Linked DNA regions of Astyanax mexicanus. The protein of the gene in region 1 purifies or fractionates together with the protein of each later gene. This does not show direct contact. Links are inferred from orthologs where the notes say so. Each region holds a gene or a part of one and is shown in the gene's direction. Other genes may lie near its edges.

Region 1 (7,576 bases):
GTGGTTGGTACAAAGTATCCTTCAATCACTTCTGATAGGTGGACATTTTAACGATTTACGTTTGAACGATTTCAGTGTATGTACTGACTGAGTAAGTGTGGGACAAAAGATTGATATTGCAATACACTGATTTGTGGCAAAATATTAATATTTGTATTAATTTATTCATTTTATTTACCATTAATTAGTAGTATTATTTAGGAGTATTTTATTCTGTTCTGTAGCACAGATTATGTAAAATGTCATAGAGAATTGACTTGCGATATATATCGAGTATCGCTGAGTCACAGTATTCTGATATCCTTGCTATTGTGAGCAACATATTGCAATAATACAACAATCATATTGTGAGAACTGACAGTGTGTGTTTCTGTTCACACCCATCAGTCTAGATATTTTTTTCCTCCATCTTATGCTGATGTTTGTTTGCTTGAGTAATTTCTGTACAAAAACTAAGGAAGAAAGAAGCTCTGACCAAAAGAATCTGACCTTCAAAAAAAAGCATTGCCCTTAACTCAGATTGAACAGATTTGACTTGTTTATGCACACAGATGTGACAGAGAGTGAGATCAAACGCTTTCAGGAGGTGTCTCGTGTGCCAGTCTTCCGGGTGGGAGGTGATGTGAGTGAAGGGTTTGGTGAGATTGCACCCCTGCTAAATGCCTTAGCAGAAAACCTGTGGCATCAGGACTGCATTCACGCCTCATCTGCCTCTCTACCCCCACAGCCTCATCCAGAAGATACGAACCGAGAGGTTATTGTGTAGCTGTGCAGTTTAACATCACAGAGCACAGTGCAAGATCTCAAATCACAAGCTGAAGGACCTGGAGAAAGAACTTTACACAGTGTAAAGATACACCCCTAAGGGACAGTTTCCTCAGACCGGGATCAAGCCTAGTCGACTACACTGACTACGGGGATTTTCAATTTGAAGCAAAATATTGTCCACAACTAGGTTTAGCTTGTAAATGTTTATAAGTGCAACTTCTGAATAACCATTACTGATTTTCAGGTTCGAGTCACTGATGTCACGCTAGTGTAGTTGGATATTGTGCTTTATTCATTGTTAAATTAGGGGTAAAAGACATATATTCTACCAAACAAAAATGATTGTATACATTTCTTGTACATTTTTCAACAATATTTTTGTTACTGTGCTTATGGGTGGAGTAAAACTTCTTTCAGTTAAATATAACTATATAAATATAAAGGTGAATATACAATAACAGTCAAACCTTAAATTCAGTGGCGTTTTTTTCCATTTTTTTAATTTTCTGCATTGTAGATTAATACTTAAATCATCCAAACAATGAAGATGAACATATGTAACTATTTAGTAAACAAAAAAGTTAAACAAATCAAAAATCAAAAATGTTATGATAAAAGAGGCTCTCATCAGGACTGCCCTAGGAAATGAAAACCAAGAGTTACCTCTGTTGCACAGGATAAGTTCATCAGAGTTACCAGCCTCAGAAGTTAACAGAATCCCACCTAAAGGCTTTGTTTAACACTTTTAAGTTAATACATGATTCCTTATGTGATCCATAATAGTCTGGATGACTTCAGTATGTATTTACAATGTAGGGGAAAAAATAAAACATTGAATGAGAAACTTTTGACAGATACTATATGTATTTTTGTGACTGTCTTTGTGACATCACAAAAACTATTATTTCAAAAGATTTACATATTTGGATTTTACATTTACACTTACCAATAGTTACCAATATAGTCTTTCATAACCCATTCTGCCATCGATTATGGGAATCTTTAATACATCAATGTGCACAGTCTATTTTTACATCAACAGCAATAAGAAAGTTGTCTTAAAGTAGTTCAAACATTGGTCACCACACTTTTTTAATGTACTGATTGTTGTTGCATTTAAAATAAAGCATCTCAAAATGTTTATATTATTTATTGGAATAATTTGAAGTGCCTTTCTTCAGTCTTCAGTCAAGGCCATCATAAAGGTGTATGGATCACTTAACTGCAATCATATAGAGAAAGAAAAAAAATATTCTGCAAGGGTAGAAATCCATGCATTAAAATTTAAATTGACAAAAATATGTTTTCTTACCTTTTGTCTTGTGTTTAAAAGCTGTAACTGTAAGTGCACCACCCTGCCCCAAGGATGAGCTCACTGACATGGGGTCTGCATCTGGAGGAAACTGCCATTTGTGGAAAAATGTGTCTATGACGGTACCATCTGATGCCAGCTGAGAAATAAAAGCAGAATATTACAATGAGACAAAAATGTATGTCTTCTAAATGTATTTAACTAATAGGTTCATGTTCAAGTTGTATAGTAAACTGTATATATACTTCTGATCTATAGTTTTTTAAACACTTAATGTCTTCTTTAAGCAGTAAATTAATGAAATAAAATATTTTACTAAATAGTTTTTCATGGTAAAAAGTGGTGACATGGTAGTTTTGGAATGTTTTAATTCCACGATTACTTGCAATAAAGTCACCATTTGTGCACTACAAAGCTTATTATTTATATAGCAAATATTATTTACTTAGTATAACTCAAACATAAGCAACATATTAATGTTACAAATTAGTGTCAGCATCCTACCCCATTCTCATTGAAGGACTTCTATCAAGTGCAACAAAATAAAGAACTTTTAAATGTATTTCCAAAGGGTTTCACAATAATATCCTTGATCTTTCTTGGTATGGAATCACACAGAATACGTGTTAGATTACTCTATGCTTTTGCTTACCTTTTCAGCAGAAACCTGAATGATGTTTTGTGATGAGGTAACAATGACTTGTTCTGGCGAGAATGCACTCACGTCCACTGTGAACATGTATGTGTCTCCAAGAGTGCACATTTCCTCCTTTAGAAAACAGATATGAACATAGCTCTGCTACTTAAGTGCATGCAATAACAGAAAACACCTGTTGCTGTAAATACACAGGTTTATTGGCTGTCTTAGCCTACTTAATTTGTGGCTGCATTCTTTTATCGTATTTCCAGTGTTAAAAGTTGACTGTACAAGCAAGCTCTGATCTATATAGCAATAAGCAAGCATAGATGAAAAAACTCACCTTTAGATAATCTTCTGACATTCTGATATTTTTCTTAAGTAGTTGGAAAACAGATAGGCTTTTCTATTCCTAAAACGGTAAAAAAAAAAAAAAGTACTGTAAAATTCAGCCTAGTGACGCATTAGTGCCTTACACACAAAAACAAAAGCTTTGACTCAAAAACAAAAAACCCATCACAAGCTCCTAGAGCATTGCACTGAGTTCCCTCAGGGCTTTAAAGTCCCTTTTATTGTAGGCTGCTGTGAGTGCTAGGAGCCTCATAGCTGTGAATAAGAGTGAGGTTATGATGTCTGTGTGCAGTATTTATCACACACTGGAGAGATCAGCTTGTACAACTAATAATGTTCCAATTTATATGACTCACAATCAGAGGATACAAGGTGTGAAACTTCCAATTACAAATATTGGTGAAAAGTGTTCAGGGGTATTCTGCAAAGCTAACTCAGATAGTGGAATAACATGCAGTAGAAAATGTTCTCCAGCTCTTCTGCCATTAGGCAGGCTTGACTCAGGGCTTAGTTTATCTGGCTTACTAAGAATCCCTGCTTTGTGAAATAGTCCCCAGCTGAGCAACCCTACAGAAATAGAGTTGTGTATTAGCTGAAGAACCGATGTGACATTCTAGGTCTTCTCTCACCTCGAGCATTATTAATGATGGTCTATAATGGTCATCACATCCACTCTAATTAAGCAGGTTGTTGGACTTCTTTCAGACACAGACTGGAATTATTTATGCATTATGTACAATTCTGCTAGGATATTCTGATGAGCATTTCATCCCACAACATGATTTTGCAGATCCCTTTAAATATAAAGGCAGAGACAAAAAAAAAAAAAACGGGGGCAGTTTCCTAGACAGATATAAAATCTAGTTTTGGATTACACACCATCTGGAATTGAGATTTACAATTAAAAGGAAAATATAGTCTTTAACTGGGTTTAATCCCTTTACGTTTTTTTCACATACTGCTGGTGATTTTATTGGTTAGCTAATAACAACCTGCAAAGTATTCGAGTGTTAAGCAGTTTACAATACGAAGTGTCTGCATCAATTTATTGAATTTATTTATCAATTTAAATCAGTTTACTTAATTTATTGACCACTTGTTACTGACACGCTCCCAACTGGGGAAACTCGGGGCTTATCTAAAAACCCGAGTTTCTCACTGGTAAATACGAGTTTGTGGTGGAGTTCATGTGATATACGATATTTCCGACACTTCTTGAAGGCAAGTACGGTTAACAAATGACGTGACATTAATTTAGATTTTTTTTAACGTTAAAAAAATAAAAAAGCTTCATTATAAAATTTTATTGTAATAAATTTATAATATTAGATAATTAAAATAAAAAAAAAGTTTTGTAACTATTTATTTATCATTCTTTTGACCAATCGGCGCCCTCTCTAGGTCCACTAAAGAACTGGTTTTAGAAGCTCAGTATATATTTTTTTTCCAGTAGCAGGACTTTTATTATGAAATGCCACTACTGTGAGCGTATCGGCCATTTTGCAGAAGGAGTGACTTCCAACTTCACCACCCGTAGGAAACACCTTCCGTTACCGAGTTCACCGCAGCGCTGCCAGGGCGGGCTTTTCTTTACCTGCCAGAAACCCGTAACTCAACCCGCTTCCATTCACAAGCCTCACAGACCCACACAGAGCCCTCTAACACTTTCTCCACCGCTCCCCGAACACAGCCGTCCTCCCTGACCGCAATCTGAGAGCAGCCTGCGCCTGGCCAGGCATAAAGCAAGGCCGCCAGCATGAAGCTCACTGACAATGTTCTGCGGAGCTTCAGGGTCGCGAAGGTGTTCCGGGAGAATTCCGACAAAATCAACTGTTTCGACTTCAGCTCGAACGGAGAGACGGTGATCTCGAGCAGCGACGACGACTCGATTGTACTGTACGACTGCCAGGAGGGAAAGTAAGTGAGCGGTCTGTGTGAAGCCCGTCCCGGTGCGCGGATTTCCGCAGTGTGGGTCTGTGAGGCCTACTGCCGCACAAAGCCTCGGCCTCGAGTAGATTAGCTAGACGGACCACGAGTTCCTGCTAACAGAAAGAAAATCTGGTGCTATTGGAAGCCTGGAGTGATTAAATGTTGACGGGGCGTGTATCTGTTTATAAAAGCCCTCGGGTTCATCACAGCTGTGTGATATTTTGCTAAGTGGCTAAGCTAAGTAGCTAGGTAAAGAGTTAGCTAGCTGGCTAATGTTGAGGGATTGCAGGGTGTAGCTAAGCTAGCTGAGATCCACGCTTCTCCGGCTCTGTTTACCCGCCTTAGCGCCCAACACTAAAGGTGGGCGATATGGCCCTAAAATATTATCACGGTGTTTCATGGTATTTTCGCGATAGTGATATGACAAAACACGGAATAAATAAATGTTTTTATGAAAATTTCAATTGTATTAATGCATACAATTTGATATTACACACCCCTAACTGAAATATTAAAAATATAAGAGTTTTATCAGATCTATCAGAATGTCATGATACTAATAATGCACTCCAAATAGCTCCATATATCCAGGACTGAAGTAAAATGAATTATATTGAAGTAGATATATAATGGGAAAATGAGAACAGTGTGAATTTTTCTTTTGCTAAAAACAGCAAAAATGTAGTACCCTGATGTGATAATTAGGGGTGGGTGATATGGCATGATATATAAGGGTACATTATTGTTCACGATATTCAAAAATGTTGTCCATATTATTGCATATGATACGATATGACACACCCTTAATGACAATATTTGATCATATTGATAAGGAATAGGAGTGAGCAATGTGGCCCTAAAATATGACAATATATTTACGACAACAATATTCTTGTCTATAAAGAACACAAATTTTATTAATCTAAGAAGTATAATTTTGACACAAATGTCAAAAGTTTAATTTTTATTGTATCAGGGTTTTAAACAGTCAGCACAAACAAAAAATCTACAACTGTTTGTCTCTTTTGTAAAAAAAAAATGTCTTACCAGAACTTTGATTTTCTAAAAAGATAATAAAGTGACAAAATAAATGGTGCAGAATATTATTCTACAAAGAATAGTGACAAAATAAATAATAGTCTGCTTTCAAGACCAAATTCTATTGTGTACTATACAATATAGCACACCCCTAATATAACAATATGCTTTTTTTTTTCAAGCATATCGAGGATACTAACTGTTTACAGAACACTGTCATAACAAGAAGCATAATTAACTCCTATTAACTAGATGAAGTGCTACAAAAAATGAACGACAAAAACGACTTGGCTATGCTTGAGCGTGTATAGCAATATTTAAGAATCTGACACTGCTTATGCTGTTTGTAATGCAACGTAATGCAATGTCCAGCTCTAGTCTTGTGTTCTTTCAGTTATGGGTATATTCAACTTTCTCATTGCTCATAGTTAGCATCTTTCAGAAGTGCAAGTAACAGTATTGTGAAAAATCAAGGACAAAATGTGCAAAATTTATCACAAAAAATATAACTTTGTAACAGGGTAGATTTAATTAATATAAACATTTAACTTTTAGTGGAAAGTCAGTAGTTTGTGTCATTCCCCTAAACAGAATATTTTCTTCCCAAACTTTAAATCCAGGCCTAAACGGACACTGTACAGTAAAAAGTATGGAGTGGACCTCATCAGATACACACATGCTGCCAATACAGTCGTCTACAGCTCCAACAAAATTGATGGTATGTTGTTTTATTCATTTAAGAACTTGTGTGTTGTGTTGTTGTTCAGTGTGACTTTCTGCTTGTCATATTGATAATCCTCTGGTTAGTAATGCTCCCCCCGCAATATGTTTAGTGCTCTTTCCCCTGTTTGTGATTGTATTGTTTGTTTTTTCCCAGTTAAGAGTATAAAGGGTAAGTATAATCAAGCTCGCTGTCGTCCTTGTACTGACCGATTGTTCGGGGCTCCCTGACTGTGCCCTCTCTGGCTTGAGGTAGTTGTTTGTACAGTTTGAGGGTCTGTGATTCTGCCCTTTCAAGGAGCTAACTGTACAGACTACTGCCTTGCCCAGGGTGGTGCCAACTCATCTAAAAGTCAACCTGGAGTTTCAGAACTGCTATAGTGGATCACACTTAGCTTTTTCAGTTTCACAGCCAGAGGTCGTAATAGAGCTTAATGTCGTCTGTTTTTGAATTTTATAAGAATGTGCAGTCTCTGTAACAGTATTAAAAACTTGCAGCTGTTTCTGACTTTTTTCACTTTTACTTGATTACAGACACTATACGGTACCTGTCTCTACACGACAATAAGTATATTCGTTACTTTCCCGGACACAATAAGAGGTGAGGATCATCAATACTGAGCTAAGGCTGCTTTTTTTGTCAATGGACTGTTCTGCTTAAAGGGGAATGGAAAATATTGTAGCGTAGCGTGCAGACACAATGTTTAGTACAAAATCTGCTCTTATTCTGCCATATTCTGTTCCATTTCTCTGCTTTCCAAAACTTGTAGAATAAGGCCTTTATATGTATGAACTGTGAGCTAAATGTCAGTCTGAACATT
Region 2 (7,947 bases), on another chromosome or scaffold:
ACTAATAGGATCATCAAAGGCAAGTTTTCGTCTACAGACTCCTCAAAAGTAGTGAAACGTGAAGACCTGTTCTTCTGATTTGGCTCCACGTGCAAGACATCTGATGTTTAGCATCAAAAAATGAATAGAAGATAACCAATAATTCCTGCATTCCTTTTCTGGTATTTTTATCTAAATGTCTTAAAAAACTTAATACCCAGTTTCTATTGCTGGTAGCTGTTTTTGGATGGTATAAACTGGCTTTGATGGCCAAGGTGGTTGAAAAGCTGCTCATCCAGAAGAATCTACAGTATGTTGCATTTTATTTTGGTCATGCTTGACCATTTTGATTATGCTGGTATACAGGCTACATGTGCATGTATTACAAAACCCTTTTTCTCTGCCTTAAAATAAGTTATTTGCATTCTGAAAACTTTGCGGGCTTTTTCAGTGTCACGCCTGGCGCCGAAAGAGCTCCTGTCCCTTCCACACTTAGATTTACTTGCGATCCCTAGTCTCTGGACTACTATCCCCAGAATGCACAACACACTGATGTCACTCCCTCTCACAATCACGTCACTGTACGGGCACCACCAGGAAGTCAATCACCGGAATATTGATTACACCTGTGTACACCCATATATATATATCTTCACTATACACACACCCTACTAAATATTGTAAGTTTAACACATACACATACAACTTGTTTATCCCATTGCCTGTGTTACCCTCTTGTGTAAAATTTTGTTTTGTTTTGTTTTTTTAATTCGGCTTCTGCGTACCATTTGATACCTTCTGCTCGTGTATGACCTCATGTAGAACTGAATCTTTTTTATGGTATGTTTGCTCTCTGTTGCTGTTGTATACTGGTGTTGTCCCTTAACATTTTGACTATCCCCTGTACCACTACTTTCATTAATAAACCATCTTATTTGTATCCTGTAAAGCCATCACGGACAGTAAAATGTCTTATCAAACATGAAACCTTTTTATTTAATGCTTGAACAGAAATCCTCCAGATTCAGGCATGTAATATAAGGCAGAAAATTGTCAAAAATGCTGGCCTGTTAAGGGGTTAACCAGCTTAACCACCTTCAGCTGGTCATGCTGTTTATTTTTCAGCTGGGTACAGGGCAATTCTGGTGTCACACCACCCATTTTTAGGTGTTTAAATCCTATTTATGGTAACATCTCAGACTTGGAGGCAGGATGTAAATGCAAGGAGGTTTTAATAGATGCCATAAAGCAAAATAGCAAAGAATAAAACAAAGCTGAGACTAGAAAAGTAACTAAAAAATATCTAGACTAAGATCATACTTTCAATAACTGAAGAAAAACCACTAGCAAAAACATAATAAAAAAAAACACTTTCAACACCTTCAGACCTGAATTATGTTTCAGTGACAGAATATTATATGAATGCTGTTTTCTGTCTGTAATGTATGCACAGAAAGACAACAAAACAACAAAAACATTAAATTCATTTTAACGTCCATTGTATTGGATTGCCTGTTAACATTTTTATTTTATTTATGATAATGACTTTGATAATAACCTCCTGTAAACAGTGAAATAAACGTAATAAAAAGTTCTATCACATAAAATTAGGAAAAAAGACCCTAGTGGTGGGCGGGAATATTCTACTGTTTCATTAGCTTGCAAACTTCTTATTGACTGGTTCATGATCTGTTCTGATGGACAACAGGTCTCAATTAGTGTAATGTGCAGCAAAACATCAAACAAAAATAAATGATGTCCATTGCAATGGACACAGGATCTGAAACAATGTTTTAACTAATGCAGTGTATAACCAGTAGGTGGCACAAGATCTACATCTATTCATTTTCCCATAAGCAGCTGTGTGGAACTCACCTGAGATCCTTCTCACTAGAGTTAACCACTGAAAAATAGGCTCGAGCTGGATAAACTTACTGACCAGTTCTGCTCTTTATTTACATAAAGTAAGCATAAACAAGCAAGCTGATCAGCATGACCAGCAAGACTCATCAGGTCAACCATCACAACCAGCTTGACCAACATCACTATTCTGGTCAACCAGCATGACTGAAATGCAGCAGTACACACTATACTGGTCAAGATTTGGTTCCCCAGTTTTTGATTGGATGGCCAACATTTCAATCAAACTCAACTCAACAACTCAACCATCAAAGGTTAGCTTAGACTTCAAAAATACAGCCTTCAGCAAAAGCATGAATTGTAAATAAATTGTAAATGTAAAAACGTGTTTTTATTAATCATCTTTCAAATCCAAATGCTATAAAGAAATAAACACAGAAATTAAACCTCTGCTTTTGAGTTGGTTTTGTTTTCTGTTCTTTTCTAATAAACACGGACACTTGCAGATACTCACAGACGTTTATTTGATAAGGGGATAGGCTTACAAGAGTAGTGAGGGGCAGGCAGGGTCAGTAACAGAATGGCACGAATGTAAACAACATACCAGAGAAAATTATCAGGCAATCTAGGGTCATCCATGAAAAATCCTGCAAACAAAAAGAAGAAGGCAAAAGGGAGTCAAATATACAAAAATAAGGTCGGTAGCAAGGTAATGAATAGAATGGGCAATGGTAATATAAAACAGGTTGGTAAAAAAAAAAAGGAAAAAGCCATGGGATGTGTCATAGGAGAGCTAGAAAAAATAGATTACTAAATACTCAGCAAAGAGCGAGCCAAACTAAGGGGTATATATACAGGGAAGAGCAGGTGAAAACAATCAATAGCTTGGAGAGCAGGAACACTGTAGCATCACGTGATCAGTAGTGTGAGAGAAGTCCAGTGTTGGGTGTATGCTAGGAAATGAAGGTTTTAGGGACAAGTTCAGAGCCTGGAGCAGACAAGCCAGATGGAGAAAAACTAGTTTAAGTGATTGGAAAACTTGCATTCCTCATTGGAGTGAAGAATTCAGGGTGCTTTCAATGTTTGAACAGGCAGTAAACATCACTTTGAACTGCTAATTGCTGGTTAACCGCCCGACCCTTTTACATCTGAAAAACAGCACAAAAACATATTATTATTATGTCTCCTCTCTACAGATTAAATGTCTTTTATTATTGTTTTTGTCTACATGATAGCCTTTACAGTTATCTGCATTTCTGCATGAATGTGATTAGAACCTTCTAAAAGAAGGTAAAGTAAACCAAATAAAACAAATGCTGCAATAATATTAATGCTTTTACATTTATTTATGAAATAAAATTGTTGAAAATTAAATATCTTTGTTTGAAAAAGTATATGAACCATTGCTTTCAGTAACTTGTGTGACTTGAGGCTTGGGGATTGGAAAACATTTTGTATTTCTCCCAATTTAACCAATTATTAAGCTGCATTTACACTGTACTGCCATGTCAATGCATATAAATGCACTGCCCCGCTCCAACTGGTTGCATGTGGGCGTTACAATGACATTTCGTGGGTTGTACATTTAAATCAATTTAATAATTGTTGGTTAATGGTTTAATACAAGCTTTATTTCCTATTTCCTATTATTTTCCTGATCAGAGTCCCTGTAAATCAGCAGGGATTGATCATAAAAGACTGGAAAGCCCGAAAACGCAATTTCTATCGTTTCCTCCATGCATTTGAAACCGTTTAAAACCATTGTGTTCGATAGATCCATTTGCATAAACTTCACCTCGCAGTGGAACAGTGTAAATGCATTACACAGCATTAAAAGATCCAATCATGTATTTGGGGTCATCGTCCTGCTGCATGACCCACTTCACACGAATCCATACAGATCCATTGACCATTTCTAAAGTTGTAATTTCAAAAGTTAGATTTTGACTGACTCTTTTGACTGTCTGTCTGCCCGTGCCTGTATACGTCAGTGTTGATGCTGATTAAGGACATTATTCAGAGACTCCATGTAATGATATTCAGCTACTTTCAGGTGTCCCCCTCACTGCTGACACAGGCTTGTTCAGTTTTGTACCCGCAGAAAGAGGAAAACATTGGCAACAGAATGGGATGCTCTGCACATGCTCTGCAAGGTCACAGTGTGCCTAGAACAAAACACTAAATAAACTGCTCCACAGAGCTGACGGATGTTTTAGTTGTAGCTTTAATCTTTAAATATAGTTCACCTATGCTGTTTCACTAAACTGACTACATTTAAATTGTTTACACACATTTTTATAGCTCTATGAAGTAAATAAAATATGATTTTAGGTGTGTATTTATTAGGATAAGATTGGGTGACACTATTTGTGGACACCCCTTAAACCCCAGCTTAAGGTGTATCAATTGCTGACACTGGATGTTTACACCAGGAGTGGCATAAAGTTATCCAAAAGCAGTGTGTAAGACTGGTGGAAGAGAACATGCTGAGATGCATAAAAACTGTGATTAAAAAACTGAGTTATTCCACCAAATATTGAATTCTGAAACTCTTAGAACTTTATAAATATGAACTTGTTTTATTTGCTTTATTTGAGGTCTGAAAGCTCTGCATCTTTTTTTTTTGTCTCAGCCATTTCTCATTTTCTGCAAATAAATGCTCTAAATGACAGTATTATTTTATTTGGGACTTGTGAGAAATGTTGTCCGTAGTTCATAAAATAAAACAACAGTGTTTATTTTACTCAAACGTATACCTATAAATAGCTAAATCAAAGAAACTGATTCAAAAACTGAAGTGGTCACATAAAGTGTCATTTGATTGTCTTAATATTAATTTACAATGTAGCAAATAAATGAAATAAATACAGAAAAACACCTAATGAGAAGGTGTGTCCAATTTTTTGACTGGTTCTGTATAGCTACTGTATTATATAAGTTATATTAATACATTAATAATTTGTAAACTGTGCACTATTTTGTGTGTAGATCCGGTGCTGTAGTAAGGCTGACATACAGGACAGTGCACTGCGAAAGACACTGCTGCCTCCTCTGTCTTGACCAGTGTATTCTTCCGCCACGCCGGCGCCTGACATACGTATTCCTCCGCCCCCGCCCGGCGGTCGACTCGCAGGCGCAGCAGCGCACGGAGGCTGAAGCCGCTCAGGAACTTCTTAAGCTAGCTGAGATAAATGAGCCTGAAACACGTTATTTAGCGTATATTTCAGCCTATAAAATATATAAAACAGGTTTAATGAGGCTTTAGCCGCACATTAGGTGGTAGAACGGTAGATAGGACTATAAGAAAGGTGTATATTTGTGTAGTTTAGCTGGCGAGGTATGGCCGACATCGACAAGCTCAACATAGACAGCATCATTCAGCGCCTTCTGGAAGGTAAGCTGGCTAACTAAACTCAGATTTTAAAGGTTTTAAAAGCTTAATATGTTGAACAACAAGCTAGAACATATCTCACAAGACTGTATATATTTTTAAATAGGATTATTTGTGTGTTAAATTCTAGCTTAAATAAGGGTAGGGGGTCTGTAGCCAGCAGGGTCTAAGCTAAGCTAGGTTAGCTAGCTGGTGGTTAACCTAGCTGACTGTTAGCTTTTGCTGTCAAGCAGGAACATGTTAATAATAAATATCGATGAAAATTCACCCCTTAATTCAGTGTTTATTAGTCCTTTTATAAGTTTTAGTTGTGTCTAATTTGATTACTATTATTTTAAAGACACGATATAAGGAAATAAACAGAATTATTGCCTGTTAACGCAATTTTTAGCTTTGAAACGTAGGAAAATTGACGTATTGTAGGCTAGCTAAATGTCTATAGACGTAGTTTTATTGTCTGAATGCAGTTAACGTTATATATTGTCAAGCTAGTTTTTGTGTTTAATGTTTTAGGGTTTTTCGGGGTTTACAGTTAAAATCTAACTAAGCAATTTATTTTATAAAAGCAACAATATAAAGTAACATAGTAATGCAATTTATGAACTAGAAATATTTGGAATTTGCTATTTTAAGATATTTCTTTCGCTGATATAGATAAGTGACTATTCAGTAGTAATACAAGAAAAACTTTTTATTTAAAATAGCAAGAATAACAGAGTAAGGTCTATTTTGTGGAAGATATATTGTTCCAGAAAGTATTGCAATAAACGATATTATTGTCATTTTAAGACCATTAAATTACTTAAATAATAAGAACAGAATAGGATAACAAAGCATTTAAACACTTTCAAAGACAATACAATTTTAATAAACACATGACTGACTTAAATCATATTAACCAGCTAATTTGAGTGTTTTAAGTGTTTTAAAATTTAAATGTAACTAAACAATTTATTTAAAAAAGCAAAAATATAAAATAATATGACTATACAGTAGAATATCAGTAGTGTGGTTTAATTAATATTAGTACATTATTTTAAAAACTAAATATGAGGAAATGCTCAAAAAAAACAGTAATAAAAAAAAATAATCTGAATAAACTGGGTTTTTTTTTGTATAGGAAATATAACAAATGAACAGGCCTGTTATTATAAAAACAAATTGAGGATGACATAATTGTCCCAGAAATTATTGCGATAGATTACATTTATTGTCAATGCCACGTAAATAATGCGAATAGGACATCATCATAACAAAGCAATTAAACACTTTAAGACAACACAATTTAGTAGTCTAATAGTTAATAGTTAATCTAATAGTTAATCATGATTATAATACTAAAATACTGTTCACTGTTATGTATGTGAACAAACATACAAATAAACACAAATGTTTAATCATGTCCATTTATTGTTATTTTAAAAACAAGATATGAGGAAACGCACAAAATGAAAATATGTATTTTTTTATATAAAATAGCAAAAATAACAGAGTAAAATAAGCCTGTTGTGATCATTTTTTTTGTAGACGATGTATCGACCCAGAAACTATTGCGATAAACAATATTATTGCTATTTTAAGATCATTAAATGCCATAACACTGGCATAATAAGAATAGGATAGCATAACAAAGCATTTAAACACTTTCAAAGACAACACAATTTTATTTAATAATAACTAAAATACTAAAACTCTTGACTGTTGTATACGTGAACAAATATACAAATAAACACAAAAGATGATTATCACAAAAATTAAATGTGTAATATCGTTTTTTTTTTTGGTGCTATTATATTCACAAGGCGATTTGCTTGTTTTTAGGTTGTGGGTTAGTACTGGGCTAGATATTGTTATTTGTGGGATTTTTTGCAGGTCGTGTTGTAGACCAAGTTGCAGAATATACTGCAATTTAAAACTGTATAATTGTATTATTTCTTATGTTCTATTATCTGACAGTTGGCAAAACACTTTACTGACACTTGTACTATGTATGTGACCAATGAACTTTTATTTTTTGTTAAAGAAAACCTACATATAAAATAGCTATAAACAGAATAGGTGATTAGTAAAAATATTGGGTCAGTTAAATAATATAAATACTTAACTAAAAATAAATATCAGTTGGAGGCTGAATGGAGGATGAATATATTAATTTGGCTGTGTTTGTAACCCAATATGATTCTCTGTTTGTCTAATTAAATGTTTGCATATAACATATAGTTGTTGTTAAAACTTATGCTAAAAAAGTACTAAAATACTGAGGCTGACTTAAGTCAAATAACATTTTGCTTTTTGCAGAAAAAAAATTCTATAAATTGACAAAATTATTCTATTTAGCAGCTAATAAATGAACAAAATCATAAAAAGCAGCCTGGGCATCAGTGAATTGTTTATTTTGTTTTCAGGTTAAGCTGATGGAAGTGGAGAATTATTCAGTGAATACTTTATGCTTGTCTTTTTGGGTGGCACTGCAGGGGGTAGCCGACCCACTTTTCTACATGAGATTTGTCCTGTTTAAAAGCTCGGAGCATCTCTCACATCAGAGCTAGCGATGCTGAGGACTGACCAGCAGCTCCAGCAGATTCACTGCTTCGGCTGTACTTTTGGTTCCTGTGTGTCCTGCAGAGCTGGTGGACTATTCCTGGTTTTGGTTTCAGAAAAACGAAAGATGAACCTTCCAGTTTCCTGGAAGAAAATTTACAAGGGGACTGACCACA
Region 3 (7,349 bases), on another chromosome or scaffold:
ATTAAGCTAAGCTGGCTAAAATGCTTTTGACTAGTCAGAGAGATCGCACAAGATATCTACACACCTATCAACTTTGAGGTACTGGTTAGGGCTGCACGAAATTGGCAAAAATGGACATTAGTTGTTTTGTCTGCAATATATATAGTGATATTTCAAAATGCAGGATATTTTTTTAAAACTTTTAACAGAAGTCAATGATCCAACATATCCTGGTACCATGTGCTCCATACATCCACAATTAAAGTAAAATAAATTATATTTGCCTGATATAATCTTTCTTGCTGATATTTAATTGGAAAATAGAATTTTACTTTTGTTTCAAATAGCAAAAAAGTTGCTCCCTGGTACAATTTTTTGGCCTTAGTAGAAGAATGAAAAACAGATAGTTCCCAGATAGCAAAGGCAGGTAAATTAATGTTGGATTTTGGGGTTTCCTATGGTCAAAAGTTATTATAGGTAGAAGTTCTAAACGTTGTTTAACGTTAAAAGCACAATGTGGAATCAATGTTGATTCAATGTTCCTTTGCTGTGTTTTCATTTCCAGTTAAATATCTGCAAGACAGGTATATCAGGCAAATATACTTTATTTCACCTCAATCCAGGATTTACGGAGTGAACTTGGGCACTGGTAAGTTAACACAACATGCTGGATCGTTGACTTCTGATAAAACATTGAATAGCACCATTGCTTAAAGGTTGCTTTTTTATTGGCAACATTAAAGGTGTCCTTCTGCTAAAATTCACTTTTTCTTGTTCCTTGTAAAATACAATAGGTCTCTCTGAGTTGTATATAAATGCTGCACATGAAACCTTTCTTCAAACTCCATTGTCTGCAGTAGCTAGTAAAAGTCGATCAGGAAAAGCAACCTATCTGCGTCAACCTGGGAATTAGTATTCATGGCCTCGCCCACCTTGGCTCGTGACCGCCTACAGGCGGAGCTAAAGCTAGGCAGGCGGCCAGGCAGCTACATGTCTTGTCAGATAGGAGCTAACAGCATTAGGAACATGGCAGTTTGTTCCTGTGTTATTTGTGCCAATAACACATCAGTGTTATATGCTTTGCCCAGTAATTCAGAGCTAAGAAACAAATGGTTAGAAACTGTCTATGGAACACTACCAGTGAAGTACAATTGAGAGGTAGGTGTATGTTTAGAACAGTTTGCTTACACTAGTTAAACTTAAAAAATCCATGAATGGATTTGTACCTTCTGGACCTGGGCTACCCACCTCTGTGGATGCAGTGTTGTTAGCAAAACAGAGGCAATATGTTTGCACACACACACTTGTCCACAGGACTAAAGAACATTTTACTGGATCATCAGAGCACTTTTTTCCGCAAAAAAACAGTTCACATGGCATTTATTCATACTAGATACCACAACTAGAGATTTTACAATGAATGAATAAAGATGGAATGAGACCTTTAAAAGACCTTTTGAGACCTATGTGCTATTTGGGTCGTAGTGATATTTTCATGAATTGCACAATTTTAACATTTTAAGGTGGAATTCCCTTTAACACATTCAGTAAAAACAGGAACACAGTGTGTGTGTGTGTGTTCACACTCTCTCTCTGCTGCACACACTATTCTACACAGCTAGTGGCCATAGAAGGCAACTGCACAGAATGTTCTAGAAAGAGAGAGAGAGAAAGAGGGAGGGTAAAGCTTAGTCTCTCAGAAAGCTGTTTTGTTCATTAGGCAAGGCAAGGGAGGTAAATGTTTACCCCTGATTTTGGCACATTTCATCACATTTTTTATCATTTTATAAGCTTTAGAAACCATGCATGTTGTTGATTTGTGTTTTTATTCTCATCAGCTCACAACTGTAATCGAAAAGTGGTTAAATCTTTTTTTATATATCTCATTTTTACCATTGTTTTTGTTATGAATATTGTGAGCTATAATGTGAGCTATAGTTCTAAAAATAACATTTTAGCCAGCTGACATACCCACTAATAGGACATTTAACCTACACTTTCCACACGGGTTAAATGTGCTTCGAAAACGCACGAGGATTAATTATAATATATTTTTATATCTTTTCCTAGAGAAAAGTGATAAATTACATCATTTTAAAGAAATGGGACAAAGTTCAAATTGGCTTGTTTTTCAAATCGGCTTGTTTTTCAAATCGCCCGTTCCACCTTAAATGATCCAGCAGTTACATTCAAGCGCCGCGACGTCGCCTGAATGTAACTGCTGGACAATTTAAGGTGGAACGAGATATTCGAAAAACAAGCTAATTCAAGGCTGTTTCGAGTTAAAAATGGTGACACAATCAAGAAATAAAGCATTTGATGCGAGTTTATCCAAAAACAGGCGGTTGTAAAGCACCGAGATATTTACCTCAGAAAATGTTTTTTACTACATAAAACGTGTTTTTTTTTTCAGTTCAGTAACTCGGTGGATTTAACAATATATCGCATTTTTCCTGTTAAATTTACCTCAGAAAATGACTGTAAACACACTATAACACTAATTTCTAGAGGGTATAGTCTGGGCAGTATGTGGTGAATAGTGAATGGTGCTGTTGTTGAGGGGAAGGGCGCCATTTTGCAGCACAGCAGCAGCAGATCCGCCATTAAACAGAACTGAACACACACACACACACACACACACACACTAATACCACCTAAAAACACACAGTAAAGTTAAATAAATGCTAAAATAATTTAAATCTTGATATCTTGATTTTAACTTCATTTGAACACTTGTTAAAGTATAAAATGCACACAATACCCTTTATAAAGAATGTAATAAACATAATTCGGCTTAAATCCCATAATATTCATTTATGTAAGCATATTAAACATAAATAAAATTACACAAATATGCATATATATGCATATTGTATGCTCAGATGGCACATGATTGAGCTCCTCCACTTTAATTAAAGTACACACACACTGTAGTTATACTTAGATAAGAAATAAACAGATAAAAAAGATTGATGGATTTAAAGATAAACAGATTGGCAGAAAGATCACTTTATTAAAAGGAAATGTACCTATTGCAGAAAGAAGTACATAAATGAGCATTAACAATCTAATATTATGTGTACATAAAAATATTAAGAAATGCAAAGAAAAACAAACCAATTGAAAATATATATATAAGATTAACATAAAACAGTATGTGTATAGTGCAAAGTATGTGCAGGTATGGTAAAAATAATGTTATTCCTATGCCTAATGGCTATATAACAGTAAAATGTTTTTTATTGTCATCATTGTTACCTTATCAATAAAAACAGGCAGTCCCCAGCCCACAGATGGAAATGTGAACATGCTGCTGTCTAAAAAATGAACAGCAAATGCTTGAGCAGGAAAAAGAGAGAGAGACTGAAGGAAGGGCGAGGAGACAGTGAGAAGGAAAAAGAGAGAGAGATGATTTGCATATCTATTTTCTGTAAAAGTAATTTTTGCAGCTGATTTGCAGCAGTTTGGCTCCTCAGTCTGCGCTCTGTGGCTCCTTCACTGCTGATATTTTATTTTTAATATGAATTGATAAAGGAGGATTTAGAGCGGGTCTGACCTCCTTTTATCTAAATCAGTCGAGTTACAGGACGGCGATGGGAGTGAAAGCGTACAGTCTCCTGCCTTTAGGCCTGATAAAATTATTTCAGCAGAAAGGCGAAGGTAAATATCCTCAATGGGCTTTTTACGGGTTGTGTTCTCGGGCTGATCTCGGTGGTTCAGCAGCAGCAGGGTAGATAATGTTCTGCAGGATGAGGGGAAAATTACAGATATGAGAATGTGCCCTTGACTCAAGGTCAAACGGGTTAAGAATGCTTTAGAAAGAATTTTAATTGTCTTATTTTTTGTTTTGAAGTACGACTGATGGATTATTAATATCATTACATAATCCTGAAAAAGTCCTTTACTGTAGTAAACACTACTAGGAGATTAATCAACTGAATAAACAGGCTGATCAATAAAAACACAGTGGCAGTTTCTGTAAAACGAGTTACAGGGTTTTAGCAGAACAACCACAGGCTGTGATTCAGCATTTCTTCCTTTCCTTTGTGAAAGGCCGTCGACCTTTTTTCCTCTGGCCTGATTTTTTTTTCTGTTTCCTCTGAAATGAGTTTAAATAGATAAACAGCAGGCTGAGTGTAGAAAAATGAGAAAGGTAGAGAGCAGCCATCACTCAGTGCCATGTATCCTGAGGGACCAGAGATATAAAACAATACAAAAGAAATTAAAAATGGTAAATAATAAAACAGCCAATCCAAGTGAAGTTTGTAATAAAATATATTTATATATGAATACACATTGACACATCTATACATAATAATAATAATAATAATAATAATAATAATAATAATAATAATAATAATAATAATAATAAAGATAATAGTGAACTTACTCTTAGGCACATTCACATGCTCGGCCTTGCGCAGGGGAGGGCCTGCCTACGCAGCTGATGGTAACATTTGCATGTGTATTTTTTTCTCTTTTTCTTTCTAAAACGTTTGTTTTTGTCAATCAGCTGTTTATTCAGTAGCATTTCACTGTGAGAAAGTAGAGTAAAATGCTGTGATATGGGTGTGCCATGACCTAGTTTGCCAGGACAAAGATGGATTCCTGGAAAAAGAGAGAAAAGAGAGAGAGAAAGAGAGAGGAAAAAAGAGAACAAGTTTAAAAAATGTCAAAGGGATTCGGTCCAACATTTCTTCCTTCTTCTCAGATATCCTGCACTCAGAGAGACAGTATGTGTGATAGTCCGTCATGAGGAGCTGGAATGAAGCTTTAGATCCTTTTAGGAACAAAGGAACCGCATTAGGCCTCAGAGCGCGAGCTCAGCGCTCCCACTCTCTGCTGCACGAGCTGCAGGCTGGGGCTCTAATAGGAGCGGCGCATGCGCTGTTTCTAATCTCGCCCGCTTTCCGGCAGGGCCCGCCCCCCGCTCGGGCATTGGCTGACGCCTAGCGGGTACTCGGGGGTCGTCTATTGGACGCGCGCCCGCCAGCGCGAAGCAGCGGCCAATCACAGTACGGAGGAGGCGGAGTTTTGGCGTAAACGGGTGGAAAACGAAGAGGCGATGCTGATGCTCTCTGATTGGACAGAACCGGCTCTGCTGTTTTAACCAGCCAACTGCCCTCAAAACACACACACACAAACATATATATATATACACACACACATATATGTATAAAACACATACAATAGAAACACCACATTTAACACACAGTGCGGGTTTCACGAGGAAAACACTGTTATAAATGAACCAATCCATTAATTAGTCAGTACGTCAGTCTTTATTTTCACACTGAGGGTGACCCTTATTCTAAATGACAGGGATTGAAAGAAAAAAACTAAATACAAATAATATTTATGCACCTTTAAACAAGAGAAAAACAACAAAACAAGTTAAAACCCCTTTAAAAACAATCTAATAATATAAGGTGACCAAATGAACAGTTCGTTAATAACGAGGCTGAATACATTGATCAATTAAAGTGGGTAAAAGAAAAGTTAAAATTAAGCTAAAACTAAATATTGACCAAAATAATACAATAATAGCAATAGTAAATAAAAGTAATACATACAGCTAACAGTAATATAATATGAGAAGATATAGTGAATTTTACACAGTTTTAATTAGAGATTGTAGTTAATGGATAATAAAACTAAAACTAGAGCGTTAAACCCTCTACAGGGTTTTTACCCTAGCATGTACACTAACTCTCAGTACATTATTCAGTATTCAGAATTGTATATGTTTATTTAATGTGTTGATATGAAATTGTGTTTAATGTTGGGGTAAATCGGGGAGAGTTTTATATTTAAATAAACAGAAATGTCCATCTTCTGTTTGCCATCCAGGTAAATCTATCCCGCAGATTCCACGCGCCGCCCAGCGCGCCCGTATTCCGCCAAACCGCGAGCGCAGATCAAAACAACGTGTAGGAAAATACTGCATATCTGCTCGCGATCCTACGCAGATAAATTGAATGAAATCTTAGTTTTTAGCGCGGTTTCTGCGCGTGAAGCGAATTTTCGGTCTTGTGGCGAAAGTGCTGCGGCTGCGCGGCTCGCGGGGCTGTAGTGGTGTATTGTGGGAGAGACAGCAGAAAGCAGCTCGAGACACACAGTATGTGCAGGCGCGCGCCCCGCGGATCCCTCAGCTCCCGCACAGCCCGCAATATAGCCCGCAGCACAGCTCGCAACATGTAAAAGCGCGGCGGCGCGAGCTGGACGCACGGGAACGAACTCACGCGCCTCGACGCTTCACCGTTACACACGGACTCGAGCAGGACGCCGCGCGCAGAGAGAACACACACACACACACACAACAATGTCCAGGCCAGGGGAGAGAGATAGAGGCAGGGTGAGTGAGGAGCACAACCGCAGGACTTCAGGTAAGGATCTCCCTCTGTTTCCCTATGTCTCTCTACTATCTCTCTCTCTCCCTCTGTTTCCCTATGTCTCTCTACTATCTCTCCCTCTGTTTCCCTATGTCTCTCTACCATCTCTCGCTGTTACTCTATGTTTCTCCACCATCTCTCTCTCTTACTGGTTTTCTATGTCTCTCCACCATCCCTTTCTCACTATTTCCCTATGTCTCTCCACTATCTCTCTCTCTCTCTCTCTCTCTCTCAGTTGTGTTTCTGTGAGTGGGACCCCCCCCCATGTTGCCATGTGTTTGTGTGTATATATGTGCAATGTTTGTATACATTGTGTAATAATGTGTAATTGTTTGTATGGGAGCAGCTCCGATGAACGGGATGGAGAACAGTTCGGGAGAGAGACGCGGCCATCACTGGAGAAGCTACAAGCTGATCATTGACCCGGCACTCCGGACGGGTTCCCACAAGCTCTACAGATATGATGGGCAGCACTTCAGCTCACCGGTCAGTCTCACACACTGACACCTGGTACCCTTCCTTCAGCCAGGGTCCAGCAGCGCTTCTGCGGACTTTAGTAAAAGAAGTAGCAGAGGTTCAAGGAAGGTCCAGTAGAATTTATACAGGTGTAGTAGTGTCAGCAAAGTTCTAGTAGAACTTGAATACTGGAAAAACCCAGTAAATGTTCAGTAGAACTTTGACTGGTACAGTATAAAGTTTTAGCAAAGTGGCAGAAGAGGTGCCAGAAGTCTAGAAAGTTCAGATAAGGCACTGGACACCCAGTAAAATGTCCAGGGAAGGTCCAGGAGAACAGGTATAGGAGATCCACAAAAGTTGCAGCAGAGGTGTCGGAGCTAACAGTGGTCCTGACGGAACTTTTGACAGCTCCATCACTGGCTAAAACTTTACCGCCAGCACTTCCATTGTACCTGTACCTTCTGCTAGATGGGTCAGTCTAGGGTTGGGGGTGGTTAGTGATTACAGTGTTTACAGTGTGTG

The links. The genes of interacting proteins can lie anywhere in the genome.
Region 2: the proteins of wdr82 (region 1) and ppp1cc purify together in Homo sapiens (affinity purification with mass spectrometry; 5 studies listed by BioGRID and IntAct, with this or other methods). This does not show direct contact. The link is inferred for Astyanax mexicanus from reciprocal best matches to the Homo sapiens genes WDR82 and PPP1CC.
Region 3: the proteins of wdr82 (region 1) and setd1ba purify together in Homo sapiens (affinity purification with western blotting; 4 studies listed by BioGRID, with this or other methods). This does not show direct contact. The link is inferred for Astyanax mexicanus from reciprocal best matches to the Homo sapiens genes WDR82 and SETD1B.

Annotation. Positions count from the first base shown.
Region 1 is NC_064412.1:15,876,555-15,884,130, reverse strand, and holds the start of wdr82 (WD repeat-containing protein 82), read left to right. Parts: upstream 1-4,576; 5' UTR 4,577-4,824; coding exon 4,825-4,985; intron 4,986-6,655; coding exon 6,656-6,753; intron 6,754-7,289; coding exon 7,290-7,356; intron 7,357-7,576. Other genes in the region: cplane2 (ciliogenesis and planar polarity effector 2), read left to right, coding at 1-14, 529-766; heat shock protein beta-7, read right to left, coding at 1,983-1,990, 2,081-2,219, 2,733-2,849, 3,061-3,081. UniProt on the Homo sapiens protein: Regulatory component of the SET1/COMPASS complex implicated in the tethering of this complex to transcriptional start sites of active genes.
Region 2 is NC_064408.1:10,500,272-10,508,218, forward strand, and holds the start of ppp1cc (serine/threonine-protein phosphatase PP1-gamma catalytic subunit A), read left to right. Parts: upstream 1-4,944; 5' UTR 4,945-5,178; coding exon 5,179-5,233; intron 5,234-7,947. UniProt on the Homo sapiens protein: Protein phosphatase that associates with over 200 regulatory proteins to form highly specific holoenzymes which dephosphorylate hundreds of biological targets.
Region 3 is NC_064427.1:22,483,248-22,490,596, forward strand, and holds the start of setd1ba (histone-lysine N-methyltransferase SETD1B-A), read left to right. Parts: upstream 1-4,346; 5' UTR 4,347-6,301; coding exon 6,302-6,365; intron 6,366-6,717; coding exon 6,718-6,857; intron 6,858-7,349. UniProt on the Homo sapiens protein: Histone methyltransferase that catalyzes methyl group transfer from S-adenosyl-L-methionine to the epsilon-amino group of 'Lys-4' of histone H3 (H3K4) via a non-processive mechanism.